Caenorhabditis elegans: one gene and its partners. The protein of the gene in region 4 interacts with the protein of the main gene of each other region in a pairwise test. Each region holds a gene or a part of one and is shown on either strand. Other genes may lie near its edges.

Region 1 (7,384 bases), 9.0 Mb from region 4:
TAACGTATAGGCATCGAATTTGTTTGCGTGAGCAGCAATATGAGGTATTGAGAAACTGTCAACACTGGCGGGTGAGATTGACAGTTCGCAAGCAGGCCAACTCACTCCTTCCAATCGGGCGTCTGTCCGTAGTTTTGGGCTGTCTTCCATCTTTCTGCCTTCAGACAATCGCTAGACGGTGCATAAAAAGTGTTCCCGATTGCTTGACCTATTTATGTATATCCTTTTAAAGAGCCGTCAGTATTCCCCACTTCACATCGTAATTGTTAATTAGTACACACTTATCCTATGTTTTGTATTCTCAATTGTTTTTGTTTCAAAAATGATTTATTTTTAATTTCAGGTAGTAGGATCTGGACATGAAGGTTCTTCTCTTCGTTGGTCTCCTCGCAGCCACCGCGCTTGCTTCCCATCACTCATCCGATCCATCGAAAGATGGTGAACATTTCAAGGTAATTTGCAGTTTTACGCATAATCTTTTACAAATATCTGTTCTGTTATTTTTAGGGAAAGGAACATGACAAGAAGTACGATCACGAGCAGTTCCTCGGAAAAGACACCGCTGCTGAATTTGATGAATTAACACCAGAAAAGTCAAAGGAGAAGCTTGCGTATGTTCTTTTAAAGTCTCATGACCTTCAAATCAACGTCTATTATTTTCAGCAAGCTCGTTCCAAAGATGGATGCTGACAGCGATGGCTTCATCGAGGAGAACGAGCTCAAGGATCACATCAACTTCATGCAAAAGAGATACGTCAACAACGACGTGGACCGTACCTGGAAGAACTACAAGGCCGAGAAGATTGTCGACGGAAAGATCAAGTGGGAAGACTACAGAGAGATGGTCTACGGATCTGCTGACGGAGCTGGCCAGGAGCTTTCTCCAGAATACGCTAAAATGATCGCACGTGACGAGAAGAGATGGGCTGTTGCCGACTACGACTCAAACGGAGCCCTCGACAGAACCGAATACGGTTGCTTCATGCATCCAGAAGACTGTGATCACATGAGAGACGTTGTCGTCGCCGAGACTGTCGATGATATTGATAAGAACAAGGACGGATCTGTGGATCTTGATGAGTACATTGGAGATATGTATAGACCAGATGATTACCCAGAGTTGAATGGAAAAGAACCAGACTGGGTTCAATCTGAGCGCGAAATGTTCAAGGAGCACAGAGACAAGGACGGAGATGGAAAACTCAATCAGGTATAATAATGTCTATAATATGATGTCTAATTAATAATGATTATATTTCAGGAGGAGATGCGCGATTGGATTATGCCAGTTGGATTCGACCACGCCGAGGCTGAGGCTCGTCACTTGGTTGGAATCGCCGATGACAACAAAGACGGAAAACTGAATCTCGATGAAATCGTCGCCCACTACGACACATTCGTCGGATCCCAGGCCACCGACTACGGAGAGCAACTCCAGAAACACGACCCAGCCGAGCTCTAAAATTTTTGTTTTTCTCCAAACAGTATTACGCGAAAATTCTCATTTGAGATCTGTTAGTAATAATAATGTGTGACTGGTCTTCGAAACTCATTCTTACTTAACAAAAAATGTTCACTGTTCTTATTTATCTCATTATTGTTTGCCTTTTTCAATGTCATAAGTATATAATTTTCAAGCGCATGCATTTTTGAATTTTTCGGATTTTTCGAATTTTACTGGTTTTAATAATTATCAACAAATAAAAGTTTATGCATTCAAAAATCCAATTCCTTACAGAACAACGGAAGGTTAATGAAATAATTTAGTGTGTCAAATGTGTACGACTTCGCCATGTCTTCGCACAGCGGACGTGGCGACGATCATGACGGTGTTGACCCCTTGATGATTTTCCTTTCATAGTCGCATCTCTGTCTCTCTTTCCGCAGGGAAATCTTCAAATCGGTTCTGTCCTAATTTTTCTTCGCCATAGTAATGCATAGCCCATTCATCCAAGTGTTATTCTTGTTTCTGATTATTGATCGATTAGCTTTAGCGTTCGATGTTCCGTGTGCACGTGAGTCAATTTGAATGTTTTATATCGTAGTTGTATGAAACATTGAGCTAATACATGTATACTGGTTCTTGGAATTGAAAATTTTTCTTATTATATATTTGAATAATGCCTATAATTTGTGAAAATTTCAGAAAAATTCTAACTTTATTACAATTAAATAACGAAATAATAAAGTTTTGAAATCCTAAAATCGCTTATTTTCAGAATTTCTATTTAATATTTCCAAATTGTATCATGGCTTATTTTTGTTTGAAGGCAGTGTATGTAGTTTTTGAAAAGTACTCTTGAACTGTAAAAACAACTTGCAAATTTTTAAGGTCATTTGACATAACAATGGTTACATGTTGTTCTATTGATTTAGTGAATTCGTTGAAAAATTCAAAATTGGCTTCAAATAAATTGAAATTCAAGCCAATCAGCTAGTTTACCAGACTAAAAGAAAACTCTAAATTGCACTGAAATGATGGAAATGAAAAATCTTCAGGAAGTGTCTGAAAATGTCTTTTTTTTTTGTTTAGTTTAGAGCTGTTTTTTTTTAACCTAGAAATTAATAATTTAACAATGCAATTAGGCTCGAAAACATGAATCAAAAGCTTTCGAATATTCAAAAAAAAACATCAGTCGTTAAAAAGCCGCTCCTTCAGTTGTACAATGCCCAAATGTCATAGTAAAACTTTCCAAAAATGTTTTGATTTTTTCAAAATTACATTTAAATTATTTTCCTACGAGTTTTATATTCTTACCCAGGATATTCAATCTGTAGCAATTCTTAAATTTACTCAAAAAGTTCACATTTTTGGAAACTTTGATCAAAAATTTTGAACAATTCAAAATCTTTTAGAAGTTTTTTATCATGATATTTGGCCATGCTAGATTATACTACGTAACCTTTAATATGATTGAACTATCATAATTTATAGATAGGAAAGCAGTTTTCTCAGTCCCCCACACTTCAACAAAAATATGTTTATTTTTTTCAGAAAAGCTTATTGGAAGTGACTGCCTATTTGATGAAGAATGCTATGGAATGAACTCAGTGTGCAGAAACTCCCGATGTACCTGCCCCACAAACTTTGAAGAATACGACATCGATGAACGAACGACAATTTGCCGATTAGGTGACATCATAATTTTCCTCGTTTTTTTTTGTCTCTTTGGTTTTAGACTTCTTACAGTTCTCAAATGATTCACCGAACCGAACCGGTCTTTTGCCTCTTGTTGTATAAATTAGCTTTTGCTTTCAGCACCCGCCAAAATCGGAGATTCCTGTCAACGCGATTGCAAGCCTCCCTTATTGTGCAGAGATGGTAAATGCGAGTGCTGGGGTGGTAGTATTGTTGACGGAAAATGCGTTGTTCGTAAGTGAAGCTGATGTCTAAAGATTTGTGAAGGATGAGTGGATTTTCAGTGTGTCCAGTTGGTCAGCAGCTTTATGGCGTCGAATGCACTCGTGTTGCCCATTATCAGCAACCGTGTGAGAAAGACAGCCAGTGAGTGAGAAAAATAGTTATAAAACAATATACCTAGATATTGAAATTGTGAAGGTCAACTAGAATTGGTCTAAAACATGAAAAACTGGCAAATTACTTGAATTGAAGCAGGGGGTGTTCTACAAAAAGAAAAGCAAGAGTGGGATTATGTTAATATTTTTCTTCAAAATTTAGTGATCGAGTAAGTCTAAATATTTAATTCAGTTGAAAATTATTTTTTATTTTAGTTGAAATAGTTCGAAAGACGCTTAGAAATTGTTAGAAAAATGTAAACTGACTGAAAAAAATCCCACAAATTATTGCACTGAAAATCCCAACTTTCAGACAATTTTTGAGCATTTTTCCTGTTGCTTGAATTGATATGAAAACTATGTTTTATAGTCTTCTACTAAATTTTGATGAAAAACATTGGGAGAACTTGCGGCTCTGACTGATTTTGTAGGATTACTGGTCGGCATTTGAAAATTGAAAAAAAAAACTATTTTGAAAAGTTTCAGAGTGTATTTAGGTATAAATATCAATGACGCTACTTCATCTATTCATTTACAGATGCGTCGACCCATTTAACGCCTGCATTGCTGGAACATGTTTGTGTGCTCCTGGAACAACGAGAGATACTGAACGGGGATTCTGTCACGCTAGTTGGTCAATTCTACCCTACACAAAGCCAATTCCCAATTCATTTCAGCATGTCCCGATGGGATGCATCCTCGTCAAACATGCCGTCGGCTGTTCATCAACGACATTGATATGCTTGAGAACGCCGCCAACACCGATAGCTGCCCATTAGGCTATCGATGCGTCACGTATGGCAGCCCATATGTGGGTCATTGTTGTCGGCTACGGTGTCCATATGGAGAGCCGGATTTGAGTCAGTCGTGTGACGCGGGAGCATCTCCAGACTCAAAATGCAGACCACTCACTCACTTCTGCTTCACTGTCAGTGAGCCAGGGTATGTTGAGAGGGGTGGAAAATGTTTCTAGAGTTTGTATTCAGATGGAAATCGTCGCTGTGTTGTCCCAGACCATGTCGTGATCCGACACCCCTCTATGTGAACGGACAGTGCCTTTCAATTGCTCATAGAGGTGATCCTTGTCAAATTGATCAGCAGGTTGGTGAACATGCTCAAAGGAGGAATAACGGTTTTTAAATGGCTTTAAAAACCAAGCTACACAACCAAACTTCTGAAAAGGATGCAAAAAATGTTTGAGGAGTCTGAAACACTGTATTTTACAACCATAGTTAGTCTATTGAAGCTTAAAAATTGTTGAGAAATTGTATGAGAAGCCGAATTTCAGCAAAAGCATTTTATATTTATATACATTTTATATTTTTTATATATTTTTTAAAAATATGTATACTACAAATATCATATTTTCATCTAAATTTTGAATTTTCAGTGCGAGGGAGGAATCACAATGTCCTGCACGCTAGGCTCTTGTCAATGCAAACTTGGATATCACGAGGTTCGCAGCAAATTGTTTTTTCTCAAATTCCCAAAAATCACAAATTATTCCAGAATAACGACGAGAGATTCTTAACGTGCACCAAAGACTGTACCCTCGAAGAAGTCGCTAGTAACGATAGATGCCTGGCAAAAGTGAGAAAATTGCCAGATTTTTTTGTGTAATTTTTTGATTTTCAGGTACAACTCGGTGCCCGCTGCTATTCGAACAAGCAGTGCATTCAATCAGCAGAATGTCGCTTTGGAACCTGTCAATGTAGATGCGGGTACAAACAAGTCAAAGTGAGTCAGATCGTGGTTCCCGGGGCCTTTTGTTTTATTGTTTCATTTGTGAATTGTTGGAGAAGGGAGGGAGGTCCGCAGCTTCTTATCGTAATGTTACAATGCCAAGGAGCTCCACAAATTTGCATCATCACTCATCCTTTCCTCTTCCCTTCTCTTCCACTTCTACTTCTCCAATAGAGGCAAAACAATCAAAAATCAGCACCACCACTAGAACGTTCTGTCATACAATTTCAAAATTCTCAATCATCAATCATTCCAAGCGTTTCGATGCATTTCAATAGAAAGAGCCGCTGGATATGATTGATTCTTACCAACAATAAAAGAAGGAGGAGGAGGGGGGAAAGGTTTCGCAGCGAAAAAAAAAGATTTATGAATATCTGATGATATTGAGGCAGGAAACAAAGAGACGGATGTTGGACTTTTCAAAGGTTCAATTGAAAATTAAATGAATTCCAATTCCAAGCTTTCTGGAACATTGAACTTTGAAAACTTTGTTTTAGTTCAAAAAAAAATTCTCATACGATTCGGATTGTAAAATTTTACAGGTCATACTGTAATTTTGAACACAGAAAAAGTAGTAGATGTGGGGAAATTACTGACACTGCCACTGCCATAAATAAAGTTTTCGCAAAGGAACTTATGTTTATTTTCTTCATTTTCTATAGATTAGGAATTTTTTGAGACATATATTTAAAAAAAAAAACTTTGTGAACAATTGTAAACCAAAGCTAACTTTTTTAAAAACAATCTAGAAACAAAAAAATCTGCGCGAAAATTCAGTCTTAAACTACAATTTTTGAGCTGGTTTTCCAAATTTTTAAGAGATTTTTTCAAATTTTCAATACATATTATTCACATTCAAAATGTACTTTAATTTTTAGTAATTTCCACACATGCGCGTCTGGGATTTCTTGTCTGATTTTTTATTTTTCAATCATGGACCCCCTAGGAATCAAGAACAAAAATAAAATACTAGGAGCCAAAGAAAATTTAATGACAAAACATATGGAAAGCCAAGACACGGGCAGAACCAATTATTGATTTTTTGTATTTGTGATTCACTTTAATTAGATACCTTATTTATTTTATAAAAATGCTATATTCATGTGGCAATGTTTCGACTTGTAGAAAATGAATAATAGGCTGCGTCCATATCCTGTTTTTTTCCGTTAAAAATATTTTTTCAAACATTGTATGATATATTTTTAATAACATACTTGAGTAAAACAAAATGAGACACTAATCATAAAAGCGGATCAAGAATTCCATGAATTTTTTTAATTTTTGTTGTACATTTTGTGTTCAATTCTTATTTTAAACTCAAAAAACAACATATTTTTCTAAGATTTGTTGTTTTAGTTTAAAAAAACTCACCTTCTAAATTACAGGATCAACTACTAGGAGTCCGTTGCACAAATCCAGATGATCCGCTCAGTATTGGCTCAATTTTGGACCGCGTCGGAGACATCTTCGGAAACAAACAAGGCAAATAATCTGTGTTCCGTAACAGCTACTCACTTCATCTCTCCTCCGGGTTGAATTTTCTTTATTTGTATTTTTTACATTAGATAAACTTGATCAATTTGTCTTATTAAAAGCTTTATTATGAATGTGGCTCAAATAATGAGCATGATTCAGAGAAAAAATGGTTTAAAATGTCAATTTTGTAATGAGAAAATGGGGGTCATCGGCAGTAATAGGGTACAACAACAAAAGTGATTGCATTAAACCTCAACTTCAAACCAAAGATACACAGAGAACCTAGTTATACATGCCTAGATTACTACCGGAATAGTATTGAACAAATACAAGAGAAGTTACCAATGAAGATTTGGGTGAGAATGGGAAGCATAATGCAGTCGGCTAGAGAAGTTGGAACTATTACTAGCAATGTACACGGAGAGGGTGAAGAAAAAAAAAAGAGAAAATAAAAAAAATGTAAAAGGATGGTCTGGATGGGTTGCGGGATAATACGAACTTCTTTTGAGCGTTGTGGGTGGAAGGGGCAAAAAATTTAGAAGCACTTGCGGTGGACAATCGATGGGCCGGACTCGTCGTACTCTTGCTTGGAGATCCACATCTGTTGGAAGGTGGAGAGGGAGGCGAGGATGGATCCTCCGATCCAGAC
Region 2 (4,996 bases), on a different chromosome or scaffold from region 4:
ATTTTGAGTAAGCATTTTTATACTTCTCATGAATCAGCTTTGTTTAACTAAAGTACAAAAGAGTCACTCAAGTGGAAAATTGAGAAAACTAGAAAAATTAAAAAAAAACATTTTGGAAATATTTTTTAATTTTTTGAAAATTCGCAAATTCTCCGTTTTTTTTTCAAATTTTGTTACAAAATTAACAATCGGCATGCTAAGAGCTTCAGCTTAAGTATAAACATGACTAGGTTCTCACAATTTTTTGGTCCCGCCAGGAAAACTACAGTAACCCGAGACTTTCGTGGTGGGACCCGAAATTGCTTTATTTGGAGCTAGATAGGCTATGGTTATACTTAAATTGAAGCTCGCGATGAGCAGAGCATTATTTTTGCATTTAAAATTAAAAATTGAGAAAATTGCGAAAAATCTTTGAATTTGGGTTTTCTTTGGAAATTTCGAAAAAAAAACAGTTGCAAATTTTTTTTTCAAAAAATCACAAATATGAATCCTACTTGTTTTATTGCGGTCCAGCTCGCCAAGAGCTTCAAAATAAGTATAATCATGACATACTTTCCTTCGGTTTGGGTCTCGCCACGAAAACTACAGTAACCCCGGTGAAATTCGTGGTGGGACCCGAAATTGTTCGGAACCTAGTCATGATTATACTTAAATTGAAGCTCCTGGCGTGCTCTATTTGGATTTTCACTCCAAACTCAAAAAAAAAACTCACGAATCCCCGAACCGAGCACTTGAAGTCGTGCTGTTTGCCCAAAAGGTCCTCCTCTCGTTTTGGAGTGTCCGAGCTGTGCGGGTTGCACGGAGCAATTGTTACACTGGTTTTACCTGAAATTTAATGTACTGAAAATTCTGAAAATTATCCTGAAACTTACCAGCAGCCGCTGGAAGAACCACCAAACTCGACGGCGAGTCCGGAGGCGGGAGGGAAGGCAGCGGGCAGGATGGCTCGGAGCTTGTGGACCACACGCAGAGGGTACCGTCTCTGGAAATGGTTAAGGTTAGTCATCTGGGCTCACGGAGCATGAAACCAACTTGGTCTTAACTGCGATCATATCCTCCGACGGGCACATACATTGTCCGTTTTTACAGTAGGAATCTGGCCAGACCGATGCGCATTGGGTATCGTAGAAGCACCCGGAATCGGATGGCGAGATTTCTGAAAATGTAGGTACAAGTTAGTACCTATGCCTATTCCTACCTGCCTACCCATCTACCTATTTGCCTACTTAATTCGACAGGAATTGTATAGGCAGAGTTTAATTAGGCAAATGTGAGAAGCAGGCATGATGCAGGCTTAACGCAGGCATACGGTAGCCCAGAAGCTAGGCAGGCTTTCGATAGGTCCGATGTAGGCACAAGCTAGGCATGGGATATGCTTAAAATATACACAAACTAGACTCAAAGTAGCCATGGGTAGGTGAAAGGTAGGCATGAGCTCGGCACAAAATAGGCAGGATGTAGGCGTAAAGTAGGCTAGATGTATTCACGTAAGCTTCAAGAAGTAACCTTGGCTAGGCAACGGTGAAGGTAGGCATGTAGACAAGTGGGCAAAATGTAGGCATAGGGTAGGCACAGAATAGGCAAGATATAGTCCCGCAGACTTTGGCCATGCTTATCTATATGCAAGTAGCCATAAGGTAGGCACAAGGTAGGCAGGATGTAGGCACGTAGGCAAACTTACTTTCATAACAATAAGCATCGACAGCGACATAAGTCGATAGACATCTACATTGACCAATTGCACAGAACATTCCGCCAAGGCAATCTGTGTTAAAGGAACATACGTCTCCAACCCGACCGGATCCTAAAAAAAATTAAAATATGTAAAAATTCCAATGATTTTTTTTTCAGTTTTTTCAACTTTTTTGTTTTAACTACCAAATTCGTATTCTACTCACTCTCGGTAAGCTGAATCATTATAAAACAATTAGAATTCATAATTAAAAACTTTTTGAAAAAAAATTCCGACATTTTTGTTCTCTCTAAAAAAAGCTTACCAGAAGTCCCCTGTGAGTGGAAAACCTGCATAGCCGGATCCACACAATCCCGGGTACTCAGACTGAAATGCACCCGTCCATCCTCTGAGCAAATCTCCTGCTTCCAGGTACCATTTGTGCACGTCAAATAGGAACTGTGTTCGATATCGATTTTTCTGGAAAGTTAAATATTGATATGGAATGAACTCAAATTTTCAGAAAAATTGAGTTGTTTCACGAATTTTCAGTTAGAAATTCAAATTTCTCATAGCTCAATTAGTACACTCCTAACTTTTCAGAACACTAGCTCAAAATCCTGTCAAGTTTGGTTGATTGGAATACGGTAGTCGGTGTTTGCGGACTTTTGGAGCTACAGTAACCCGGAAATTTTCAATATTGAGCTACCGGGGTCTAGTTTTTTGTGTTCGAGTCCAATTTTTGCAAAGATTTCAAATTTTAACATAACATTTTCGACATACAAACTCGAAGATAATTTTCACCCGTCTCCTTGGCAAAATTAATCATAACTGAAGTTCAAAAATTTTTCCACAAATTTTTTGTTAAAAATTGGAATTCTCTATAGTTCATTAGTAAACTCCGAAATTTTTAGAGCTCCAGCTCAAAAGCTTGTCAAGTTCAGTGTTTGAGTACTTTGGCGCTGCATGCAGTAGCCCGGAAAAGTTTTAAAATTGAGCTAGAGAGAATTCTAGTTTTTTGAGCTTTGGCCCAAAATTTTAAGGAAACTCTGAATTCGAACTTTGTATACGTCGTTGGAGTACTGTAGTCTACGAAAAAACTCACTTTGTCCTTGGATTACAAAAAAGAAAGGCTTCTTTGACATCTTGGCTTATTTCACATTTTGTTGAGAGCTCTGCTTTTAGGCTGCAGTTTGAGCAAATTTCATTGATTTGGCATTCTGGGAGAGCTGGAAATTTGATTTTCAACAATTTCTCAGCTCAAAGAGTTGGTACTCACCCTCAGAAGCTCCCAGGGCACCCCATATTAACAGTAGGTACGGTATCATACCTGAAAAGTTTTTGGAATGAATTTTAAAGAAGAGTATTTGAGAAATAAAGAAGTTAGAAGTTGAAGTATGCGGCCGACATCTCACGGTTTTCTAGGCCCTATTTTTGGAACCGCCAGATGTCAGCCGCTCTAACTTTGTTTAGGGCAAAGCTAGAAAAAAGTTGTCAACTACGAAATTTTTTAGTGCAATATCAGTTATATTTTTTTATTTAAAAAACGCTATTACACTTGCTGTGAACAAAGTTAGAGCGGCCGACATCTCACAGGTGTCTATAATGCCAACCCGCTATGTGTCGGCTGCTAGGACTCCTTTCAGAGTGGAGCTATAAAAAAATTTTTCACTTACAAAACCGTCTAACTTAATACCGTCTACATTTTTGTTGTTGACAATATTTTTCTAGCTTTGCCCTGGAAAAAGTTAAAGCGGCCGACACTTTATAGGTTTGCCTTTTTTTGTTCTTTTTTTCTAATTGCGCGGGATATAACTTAAAATATGGAAGTAAATAATGAATATAACCACGATATTTGTACATTTGAATGACCGCTATCAATTACTTTCATAAATGAAAAGCAAACACGGAGCTCTAAAGGGTCAACGCGTGAAAAATCACACTTGAAAGTTAGCGGTGCGGTGCTTGTTGAAAAACACTTGAAATTTTGGGGTTTTATTGACAAAAGTGTGGAAAGTGAGAAGAAGTTTTGATTTTTCTGTAGAAAAACTTGCTCACCTGGCTGGTCCGGAATCTAGACCAGTGAGGTGTCGGCGGCGCTCATTTCAGGAGCCAGCTATAGAAAAGTTGTCAACTATAAAAATTCAGTTATGCAGTGAACAACTTTTTTCCAGCTCTTTACTTGAAAATGTTACAGCGGCCGACACCTTCCGGGCAGTGGCCCAAAAGAAACCTACGAAGTGTCGGCCACTGTAACTTTTTTCAGGGCTGAGCTTGAAAATTTTTTAACCACACAAATGTAGATAGTGTTATATATTAAACAGTTTTGAGAGTTACAGCGGCCGACACATCGCTGGCCCAGACAGGCAGCGTCCCAAATGAAACCAGTGAGGTGTCGGTCGCTGCAATTTTTTCATAGCGGAGCTAGAAAAGAATTGTCAACTACAATAATTTAGATAATAATATATTTAAAAGTTTTGCAGTTGACAGTTTTTTAAAGCTGTTCCTTGGAAAATGTTACAGCGGCCGACACTTTGCGGGCACAGACAGACTCGTCCCAAAAGGCCGTTTCAGGTGTGAGCTAGAGAACGTTATTAACTACAAAAATGTTTTTAAAGCTTTGAAAGTGACAGCGGCTGACACTTCGCTGGCCCAAACTGGAAACCTGCGAAGTGTCGGCCCGGCCGCTGTAATTTTTTTCAGAGCAACTCTAGAAAAAAGCTGTGAACAACAAAAATGTTGATAAGAATATACTTATGTTAACACTATTAGTTTCAAATTTAAAAAATTATCAATTATTTAATCGGTCAGATCAAAAAGTGCAGAAAGACGGGAAATTAAAACTGAATGGGGTCGGCTACGGCGGCGGCGGCTCATTTTCAATTACCTCATCTCATCTCCCACCCACTTCTGAAATACACGATCCTGCTGTCCCCCAGTGTGAATAGCCGATCTCTCGTCGCCTTACACTCTCAATATCCCACACTATTTCTCGATTACGTGCTCAAATAGTATCGGAACGGGCGAGAGGGATATATATCTTTATGGGTAAACAAACTGAACAGTTCGAGCTTCTTCATCTTTTTCGAAGCTCCTTGACCAAATAGTATACGGCGGCGGGGAAATGTGTCAAGAGTGTTCGCGCCTTGGACGCCTTTTTTTTGGAGGTTTTGTTCCGATCGTACTGGAAAAACATTGAGGATTGGTCAAAATTGAAGGGGATCTTACGATTGTTTCACGAAAAAGTCCTAAATCACTATGCAAGAGTACTCAGGAATTTCACTTCATTTAAAGGTATTAGTCGAGTCGATAATTTTTGTTGGA
Region 3 (6,280 bases), 3.0 Mb from region 4:
TATTGCCCTGGCAAGTGCATGAACTTCCGTTACACCTACAACACTTTATACGACTGCCGATGTCTTGCGATTTAGATGCGTTTTTCTTTTGAATTTTGAGTTTGGTTTTCAGTTTTAAATGTTCACCCGACCCTCTGTGTATTTGTATATTTGTATGTATTTTTTCATTCCACATTGTTGCACATGTCTGGCTCATATGATTTGCGTATTCGTAATATAAGTGTAATAAATTTTTGTGATACGCTAAGGGATGATGAACGTAAAGAAAATGCTGCGGAAAAATCAAAAAGTGACACTTGTGACGTGGTCACATGCAGTCTGGGATAAAAATCAGAATATGAAATGAGTGTAAAATCTAATTTTTGTTTAAATTGGAGACTGAAAGTAGAATAAACCAAGAGAAGTGGCACATTGAATTTCGGGGGGGGGGGGGGCAGTTTTTTAAAATTACTTTCCGATAATTTGTACTCTCTCACAGTATTTTTGATTCTTACGGCTGCATAATTTCGATTGAGTTTGAAATTGCATTCAGCGTTGTAATGTGCCCAACTGCCAAAATGAGACGACTGGTTTTGGATGTATTTTTTTAATACTTACAGTGAAATTTTTAGTGATTTGATATATTTTAAATCATAAATTATTGTCTCCATAACTCCATTTTATTCACCCACAACTGGTAGTGATTAAGAATGAGCTCTTCACATTTTTTGTAATTCCACCTTAATGAGTCACCGCCTATCAATCATATAATCTTCATACTTGCTTCATTCCAAACTCTCTGCTTTGCTCTTGTCTTGCTCACTTCTCAGCAGAATCTCATGTTTCACCTGAACTTCTTCTTTCTTCGCTTCTCACTGATTCGTGGAAAAAATTGTCGCGTGTGCTTCCGTTGCCCATACCGCTTCTGACTTGCTCTTATCTTTTCTTTGCTTTTCTTTTTCGTTTTTCGCCTGACACATCAGCCACCAAGCTTTTATTAAAACACGAAGGATATGATTTGTTCATCAGCACTTGTCAGCAGCTCGCTCAAATTTCGACGTTTCGGATGCATGCTTTCCTGAAGTTTGCAACCTCGAAAAGCTCGCATGATATGGGTTTGTCAAGAAACCAAAAGTTTCGAGTTTTTGAGTCGATTCCTAGAATGTCATCAATCTCATCTTCGAACATTATAGTATAGTTTCCGAGCAACAAATGACCGCGGTGGACCTCCTCAAAGTGATTTTAAATTGAACAACTGTGCAATAAATAACGAGGATGAAAAATGTGTGCGAAATGTTGTGTTGTGTTGTGAAACGAAGAAAAGTGCCGAGGATAAAATATCACTCAAAGTGGAGTTGATGGATATGTGACGACATAGGGAGGAGAACTTATTTTGTTTAGATATGGGGTTTTAATACACCAAAAGACATATGAATAGGAACAACAAATTCCAATTTCAAACAGATTACCTATGAGAAAAGCAATTTTGTTTTTTTTTTCACTTGAAAGTTTGTATACTTTTTAAAATTAATTGTTTTTTTTTAATCTTTGCTACTTCCTGAAGGCAACATGACTTTCTGACCCGCACAGGTTTGCTCAATTCTGAATAATTTCTGTTTTGGTCTAGTATTTTACTCTTCAAGACTCGATCATAATCAATGCATACTCGCAGGCTTTGAGTTCGATTTGAAAACGTTCTCAGCATCCATTACTGCTTCCTGTTTCTCTCTAACTTTTCTGCTCACCGCACAACTCTTTTTGATCTTTAGCCTCACTTTTGGTTTGAGTAGAAGCGTAGAGCATTTTTCCTTAAAAAAAATAGAAAGAAAAGTTGATACCTCTCTTCTTTCCTATACTACAGTAGTATTTTCAACCCCCTTCCTCATTCTTTTTATCACTCCCTGATGTTTCAGCTTCTTCTTCTTCTTTTTCCTCTTCATCTTCTTCTTTTTCTTACCTCTCTTCTTGTTTCTCGACTCCGCCCAGTATCATCGTCAGTCACTTGTTGTGCACTCTCGTGTCCGCGGTCCCGTCCATTATCAGCCGCAACATGCAGGCTACTGTAGGCTTATTCGCCTTAGCGGTCTTGTTCTGCCTAGCCGACGCAGGTGAGTATATATGTTTATAGATGGAAACTGGTTTGAGGTTCAGCTTTCATTATGAGAGGGCGAGAAGTAAGGTGTAATAGGTAAAAAAATAAAGCATGAACCTCAAGCTTGTCATACACAAAAGGTATTACTAACAGTGAAGTTGATACGCAAGTGTAAGAAAAACAAGTTTCAGGTAGAATCTCGGTATCCAGAGGAAAAAATGTCACAAAAATTGATGATTTGTGCGCCAGAATGCACAACAACACTGCTCTTGGTAAGTTCATTGAATTACATCAGGTCATTTCCCCTGAAAAATTAATATTTTATCTCATCACTATAATTCATTAAACTTCTCTAGGTTTTAAAAACTGTATTGTTCTGAAAATCTTATTTTCCTTTTGAATATTATTGGTTTCTAATTAACATATGCGTTTCACTAAAAAATTGATACAAGTCATCTAAAAACTAGTATTTCTAAAATCATTGATGAAAAATAAATTATTGTTTTAGTTTCATTTATTGACAATTCACGCATTAGGTGTTTGCAGCAAAACAAACATAAATCAATTATCCGTCATTAACTTCGTGTGTGTCCACGTACCACTTTGATTATTTCAGAAGGATCATCTCCATTGCTGATGATGCAGGCAACCGCCTACGAGTGTCAGAAGAAATGCGTGGACATCTTCCCAGAGTGCTCCGCAGGTAAAATTTTCATTTTTGCACCGGATCCTATCCGGCCCAAGAAGATTGATGTGATGTGTCAAGCAATATCTATAACAAATGACACTCATCCGCAAATATCTCTTTTTCTGCTTCTTTAACTGATTGCTTTTGCAAATTTACACTGCCCCTCCTTGATTCGCAAAACTCCGTCTTCGAAATTTGATCTCTGCGTTTGGGGTCATGAAGACTAAAAAAACATTAACTTCACAAAAAAGTTCAACTTGTTTTCAGTGGTTTACTACTACTTGCATAACGAAACAAAGAAGCATTTCTGCTACCTCTTCTCCGACAACTCGGTTCAAGATAAAATTGACCTTGTCGAGCAAAAGCCAGAAAACAAGAAAGATATTGTTAGAATGCTCGAACTGGTCGTCGACTGCCACCAATTTGATGCTCATCCACCACTGGAGGAGGACGGTTTGGCTTCGTCTACCGATAAGGTTGACAGAAAGAAGAGACGTAAGATTTCGATCGTTACTTCGGTTTATATAAAGTTGTGATTTTAGAACAAGGCGATGAAGCTGTTGAAGGAGTCGGAGATTGGACAGATTGGTCCCATTGCTCCAGTAACGGACACGAGGTGCGCTCTCAGGCATGCGAATACGGAAGAAAAATCCAACGTCGTGGATGTCCAGCTAGATCTGCTCCACAAAGAGTCCCAGCTCCACCAGCGCAGCAGTATGCGCCACGTGCCCCAGAGTACCCAAGTGCACAGCAACAGCAGCAGCAAAGGGAACAGCAACAAAGAGAACAACAACACAGAGAACATCAGGCTCGTCTTCAGCAGCACCAGCAACAACAACAACAACAGCAACAGCAGCAGCAGCAACGTCCACCACAGCCACAGCCACAACCACAGCCACAGCCACCACAGCGACCACCACAACAGCCACAGTCCTTCTCTGGAACTCACGAGCTTCATCTTCAAAGGCAGAGAGAACAACAGCAGCAACAACAACAACAGCAGCAACAACAGCAGCAACGTCAACAAAATCCACAGCAACAGCCACAACAGACAACACAGTTCGGACAATCTCAAATCCAACTCCAAAGTGGGCCAGTCCCTCCACAACAACATCCGCAACAGCAGCAGCCACAGCAGCAACCAGAACTTGAGCGTTCTCCACTCGATCAACATGCTCAACTCTATCAGCAGAGAATGTCTCAATACCGCGAGAACTTCAATCAGAGACATCCAGCTCGTCCAAAGGCTGATCCATGCCCAGGAGGTTTCTGCGCCCCAGTTCCACAGGCCCCACAACAAGAACGCCCAACACCACCGCCAGTTCTTGCTCCAGTGATCAACACTGCCACTCAGCCACCACTTCCACAGCCCTACCCAACCAGATATCGTCCAGCTCCCCCACCACCGCCAGCATGCGATGGACAAGGATGTGTCAACCCACCAGTTGTTTCTGGAGTTTGGCATGATTGGTCTGACTGGTCTACCTGCTCATGCACCTGTGGAGATGGAGCTAAATCAAGAAGACGTGAATGCTCCACCAATAACTGCCAAGGAGCTGATTATGAGACTGAGCCATGTAATCTTGGCCCATGTCAGACATGGTCTGAATGGTGCGAGTGGTCAACTTGCTCTGCTAGCTGTGGATCAGGTCAACGCGAGAGAACTCGATTCTGTCATCTTGGTACAAACAGATGTGAAGGAAAGGACTACGAATCTGAGCAATGCAGTGCTGGACCATGCCCAGAATGGTCTCAATGGGAAGATTGGGGACAATGCTCTGTGACTTGCGGACAAGGAGTCGCAGTTCGTCAGCGTACATGTCTCGGAGGTGTTTTCGGTGATCATCTCTGTCAAGGACCAAAGACTGAACAACGTGCCTGTGATGGTGGACCATGCTCTCTTTGGTCTCCATGGCAAGAGTGGTCTACATGCTCGGCTTCATGCGGAAGCGGAATGAAGCGGAGACAACGTGTCTGCCAATTTGGAACTGATTGCCAAGGACCAAACGAAGAGAGCCAATTCTGCTACGGACCTCCATGTGCCGAGTGGACAGAGTGGTGCGAGTGGTCAGGATGCTCTTCAAAGTGCGGACCCGGACAACGGACTAGAACTCGTGGGTGCCTTGGACCAAACGGGCAAGAAGCCACTACTTGCCAAGGACCAAGTATTGAAACTACCCTTTGCGAAGGGCAATCTTGCTGCAACTGGTCTGAGTGGTGTCACTGGTCCATGTGCGACAAGGAATGCGGGGGTGGTCAGGTGAGATATATTGAATATATGTTCAGAACGGGGTAATAATGAATTACAGTCAATTCGCACTCGTACATGTTTGAACAGCGCTGGAAGTCCGGATTCATCATGCCACTGCGATGGACCAGATCGTGAAGAAAAGGAATGTAACAGTCAGTCATGTGCTCCTCAATGCGCTTGGAATACTTGGTAGTTAAAACTGTTACATTGGTATTAATTAGTTTTTTCAAATGTCCAGGTGCGAATGGAGTCCATGCTCAACACAACTTGCATGCGAAGTTGGAGTACAATCTAGGTCTGAAATAGTTTTTGATGAAGACATGTTAAGAATCTGAATTATATCTTACAGAAGCCGTCAATGTGTTGGAGAATCCGGATGTCACTGCATCGGTCTTGCCGAAGAATCCCAGCAATGCCGTGGATTGACTCAGTGCCCACCAAAGCCACCATGCTAATTTTTTGTGTTAAAAAAAATCAGTCAGACAGGGTTACATCGCCCATTTCTTTCATATTTATGTTTTTCAATTTGTACTTATATTCAATACTTTCATACAACACCGCCTCAAATAGTCGAATCTCTATATCTAGTCAATTAATTGTATTTTTCACGTCTTCCATTATGCAAATGCCTTTCAACGATAGGTTAAATTAAAGTTTGTTTTATCTTTGAAATTTATGTTTTAATAGCATTCACTGCCATAATTTGCATTTTCAATGTGGTTTAAATTTTTATTCTTAAATTCTACAATAAAGTTGTTTCACAGCCCATTGAATATAACATCAAAACATACAAGCCAGTTAACATTCAAACAAGCTTTCAATCAAAGTGTTGTACAGTTTCAGAAAACCACTCCTTAACACGAATTTTCATTAAAGTATATTGGTATTTATTAACCAAGTTTGCTGATTTATAGGTAAAACTAAAAATAGAATCAGATGCAGGTATACAATTATCAGTTGTTTAGACTGTCAGCAGAAGATAACATGGGATCAATGCTATTTTTAATTGTTATGTAGTATATGCACCCCTCCATTATCTAAATTATCTCCCCCTTCTAGGAGATTCATACAACTCATTGATTAAACATGATAGAACATATGTACTCGTTGTACTACAAGGGTGCAATACCCAATATTTCTTGTTGCCATCGTCAAAATCCTTCAAGAACAAAATCCTTTTCCTCGACATCTTCATTTGTGGCACATCTTACTTTCCATGTAGATCTTGAAGGATGTGTCAGAGTTTCCGATTCCTATAATAGTTTCTTTA
Region 4 (3,684 bases):
GAGCACATTCTGGCAAAGCAAGGACGTAAAGCTCGTCGAATGCAAAGATCTGAATACAAACACGCAGAGGAAGACAATAAAGGTGTTCGCCAAAGACTTGCCGCCAAACTTGTGGCCAAGAAATCGGAAATTATTGAGCGTTTCTGCCTTGCTCAACGTACTGTCTTTGTTAAAGCAGATTGTCCAAATGTCTATGGCCGGACAACCACTCACATTTCCTATCTTTTAGAATAAGTTGCTGTCGTCGTTGCACTGTTATCTTGTTTCACTACTGCACAAAAAGTGGCTCACAAAAAAATCCTGTAAAATTGTCTATAAAAATTCACCGTCAATCTCGAATATCACTACTCCTCATATTATTTTCTGAAATGTTTTTTTTTAAACTTATCTGTTGATTGTAATAAACTTGTAATTTACAATTCATCCTTATAGTTTTTTGAATCTACCCTACCTTATTTTTTGCCAAATGAATATTTTTGAAACTCAATGTTTAGCAATAGAGAAAGAAAATTGATTGACTAATGTAAATGGCCAGAATTTTATTAATTCACAATTATACAAGAAAAAATAAAATAAAATACCCAATTAAATTTTAGTTACACACATTGATTCCTCATAAGACGGCGGTAGAGCGGATGTTCCCGCTGTATCATCGGTCGGAGCACTTGGAACCACAGTTGAATAGGCTGGAGGTTAGGAATCCAGCCGCTCAAGGACAGGTGGATCAGACGGAAAGGTAGTTACCGTTGGCTCCACGATCGATTCAGTTATTGGCACTGTGCCGATGATGATATCAAACTCGCAGTGCAATGTATTATTAAGGGTTGTTAAAGTGTCCAACCTCACAGAAAGACAATACTCAATGCTGATAATGGGACTTGTAAATGTTGGTGGCGACTTTGGGATTTTCATCCGCAGCATTTCACGGCCAGCGGTTTTTGGAGCAATTTTTATGCTTTTTCGAGCTTCTGCAATACGTTTGCTTTCATCCTTGTGATGTTCGTGGTAAGACGAATGAGTGCATAAGAGGCCATGGTTTTTGCTAGCATTGTAATGCGAGTGCTGATGAAGTTCAGCTCGCACAAACGTTGCTGCACGTTTGGAAGCATTGTCAATGTCGATTGTGATTGGCAGGTATTCTCCAGGAGCATATCCTGCTTTGGGGATAGTTACCTGAAAGCATTAAATAACCTATCAATGTAGCAGCGTTGTACTCACAGTTATTGTTACTATTCCTTTTTTAAATATTTGCCCAATGTCCTTCACATCCTTCATCATTCTAGGAACATTTCCCAACGGAAGATGATTCAAGTCAAAGTTGGGAATAACTGAAAAATAACTTTTTGCGCACATTAACAATTTTCGAAATACCTTTGAAGTCTTCCCTTTCGTTTTTGTTGAACTTCCATGGTCTGTCAAGCTCAACTCGCACGGAATAACGAACGTGGCCGTGGAAACCTTCAAAACTAGGTGGACATTCTATCGGGAGTGGAAATGCAAACGGGAAGACATGGTGGCCAGATGGAAGTTTTTCCTGTAACAATATTGTAGTTTGTTATCAGTTAAATGCATGAAACTAAATACTCAAGATCGTCTTTTGTACATTACACTTCCAATTTAAGACTTACAGTTCCATTTCTTGCACTCCATGCAATCGTTTCTCCAGAGACGTAGTCAACTTCTGCAGAGTAGTGCACAATTTCAGTATAACTTTCCTCTTTTCCTTCACAATTACTAAACTCTTGTATGTCATTAGGTCTAGATGTCTTGGAGCTTACGTTCTGTATCGTCGTTCCCCTTCACTCCACTTCGTATGCGCAGCACCGTGAATACAGATTTTCAAGAATCGGGCAGTGATTGGCTCGTTGGATCTCAAAACAACCTGCCCAGTAACAGTTTGACCTGGTGCATAACCTCTCGGGCTATCGAACACAATTCCAAAGTGATCCATATGTTCCATATCTAAACTAAAAAGATACAAGGAAATTTAGAATTTTAATTAAGGAAAATGTTGTATGATTATAAAATGAATGAAAACTGATAAAATGAAGTGGTTATCAAATAAATTGCCGTTTTATAATATATTGTGACTCAAAACGCGTAATCAGGAGGTAAAATGTCGTCATCAGTCTTATACCGTGCGTTATTTGATTTTTGTGAAATCATATTTATATTATAAAACGGCAATTTATTTGATAACCACTTCATTTTATCAGTTTTCATTCATTTTATAATCATACAACATTTTCCTTAATTAAAATTCTAAATTTCCTTGTATCTTTTTAGTTTAGATATGGAACATATGGATCACTTTGGAATTGTGTTCGATAGCCCGAGAGGTTATGCACCAGGTCAAACTGTTACTGGGCAGGTTGTTTTGAGATCCAACGAGCCAATCACTGCCCGATTCTTGAAAATCTGTTTTCACGGTGCTGCGCATACGAAGTGGAGTGAAGGGGAACGACGATACAGAACGTAAGCTCCAAGACATCTAGACCTAATGACATACAAGAGTTTAGTAATTGTGAAGGAAAAGAGGAAAGTTATACTGAAATTGTGCACTACTCTGCAGAAGTTGACTACGTCTCTGGAGAAACGATTGCATGGAGTGCAAGAAATGGAACTGTAAGTCTTAAATTGGAAGTGTAATGTACAAAAGACGATCTTGAGTATTTAGTTTCATGCCTTTAACTTCACAGAATATTTTACTCTCTGGCTTCACAGAATATTTTAATCTCTGGCTTCACCGTATATTTTACTCTCTGGCTTCACAGAATATTTTACTCTCTGGCTTCGCAGAATATTTTACTCTCTGGCTTCACCGTATATTTTACTCTCTGGCTTCACCGTATATTTTACTCTCTGGCTTCACAGAATATTTTACTCTCTGGCTTCGCAGAATATTTTACTCTCTGGCTTCACCGTATATTTTACTCTCTGGCTTCACAGAATATTTTACTCTCTGGCTTTACAGAATATTTTACTCCCTGGCTTCACACTTTTTTGAATTTGGTTTCGAAATTCTGAAAGAACACAAAATTTGCAACAAAATGGCTACAGGATTTTTGAAAAAGTTAGTTTGACGCCAGATTCTAATTTTTGAAAATTGGAAAATCTACTAATTTTGCATGGTCGTTTTTAGTCATTCTCAAACTGTGCACTAAAAGGTATGACTGAAAATCCACTTTTTCTGCTTGAACTCCGCTAGAGGAATTTCTGTATCCGAATTATTTTTTACAGGCATATACCTTGACGAAATTACAAAAAAAAATTTTTGGAATTTTGGGAGACTTGATATGGCCCTGAATAGAAAATTTTTTTCTAAGATTATTGGTAAAGTTCGGGACCTGGAAATTAAATTTAAGCCACGCTAGAGGGGTTTCTGTATCCGAATTATTTTTTACAGGCATATACCTTGACGAAATTACAAAAAAAAAATTTTGGAATTTTGGGAGACTTGATATGGCCCTGAATAGACAATTTTTTTCTAAGATTATTGGTAAAGTTCGGGAAATATACGGTGAAGCCAGAGAGTAAAATATACGGTGAAGCCCGAGAGTAAAAAATACGGTGAAGCCAGAGAGTAAATGTTATATATTTTGTAATAATAATAGAAGAGCTTTATTAGAAAGCAGAAGAGTGCAGTATGATAGAATAGTGAGGAATGATCGAATATGATAGATT

What was found.
Region 1: the proteins of arrd-24 (region 4) and M03F4.6 interact in a two-hybrid assay, tested with the Caenorhabditis elegans proteins (one large-scale study listed by BioGRID).
Region 2: the proteins of arrd-24 (region 4) and Y55F3BR.2 interact in a two-hybrid assay, tested with the Caenorhabditis elegans proteins (one large-scale study listed by BioGRID).
Region 3: the proteins of arrd-24 (region 4) and T21B6.3 interact in a two-hybrid assay, tested with the Caenorhabditis elegans proteins (one large-scale study listed by BioGRID).

What each region holds. Positions count from the first base shown.
Region 1 is NC_003284.9:4,963,871-4,971,254, reverse strand, and holds M03F4.6 (EB domain-containing protein), read left to right. Parts: upstream 1-1,926; 5' UTR 1,927-1,933; coding exon 1,934-2,015; intron 2,016-2,995; coding exon 2,996-3,133; intron 3,134-3,259; coding exon 3,260-3,373; intron 3,374-3,423; coding exon 3,424-3,505; intron 3,506-4,054; coding exon 4,055-4,146; intron 4,147-4,193; coding exon 4,194-4,458; intron 4,459-4,502; coding exon 4,503-4,617; intron 4,618-4,906; coding exon 4,907-4,972; intron 4,973-5,025; coding exon 5,026-5,106; intron 5,107-5,151; coding exon 5,152-5,253; intron 5,254-6,644; coding exon 6,645-6,749; 3' UTR 6,750-6,842; downstream 6,843-7,384. Other genes in the region: calu-1 (Reticulocalbin-3), read left to right, coding at 360-452, 508-611, 664-1,210, 1,262-1,462; act-4 (Actin-4), read right to left, coding at 7,271-7,384.
Region 2 is NC_003282.8:856,936-861,931, reverse strand, and holds the start of Y55F3BR.2 (BPTI/Kunitz inhibitor domain-containing protein), read right to left. Parts: upstream 3,003-4,996; 5' UTR 3,001-3,002; coding exon 2,952-3,000; intron 2,902-2,951; coding exon 2,778-2,901; intron 2,153-2,777; coding exon 1,998-2,152; intron 1,805-1,997; coding exon 1,682-1,804; intron 1,157-1,681; coding exon 1,033-1,156; intron 983-1,032; coding exon 873-982; intron 826-872; coding exon 713-825; intron 1-712.
Region 3 is NC_003284.9:10,944,652-10,950,931, reverse strand, and holds T21B6.3 (Apple domain-containing protein), read left to right. Parts: upstream 1-1,979; 5' UTR 1,980-2,029; coding exon 2,030-2,087; intron 2,088-2,262; coding exon 2,263-2,343; intron 2,344-2,607; exon of another isoform or gene 2,608-2,671; intron 2,672-2,687; coding exon 2,688-2,774; intron 2,775-3,026; coding exon 3,027-3,254; intron 3,255-3,301; coding exon 3,302-5,019; intron 5,020-5,068; coding exon 5,069-5,199; intron 5,200-5,248; coding exon 5,249-5,305; intron 5,306-5,359; coding exon 5,360-5,465; 3' UTR 5,466-5,772; downstream 5,773-6,280. Other genes in the region: K09C8.7 (uncharacterized protein), read left to right, coding at 1-75.
Region 4 is NC_003284.9:13,978,547-13,982,230, forward strand, and holds arrd-24 (Arrestin C-terminal-like domain-containing protein), read right to left. Parts: upstream 1,972-3,684; 5' UTR 1,961-1,971; coding exon 1,779-1,960; intron 1,735-1,778; coding exon 1,629-1,734; intron 1,535-1,628; coding exon 1,372-1,534; intron 1,329-1,371; coding exon 1,219-1,328; intron 1,174-1,218; coding exon 694-1,173; 3' UTR 523-693; downstream 1-522. Other genes in the region: F48F7.6 (Zf-C4pol domain-containing protein), read left to right, coding at 1-234.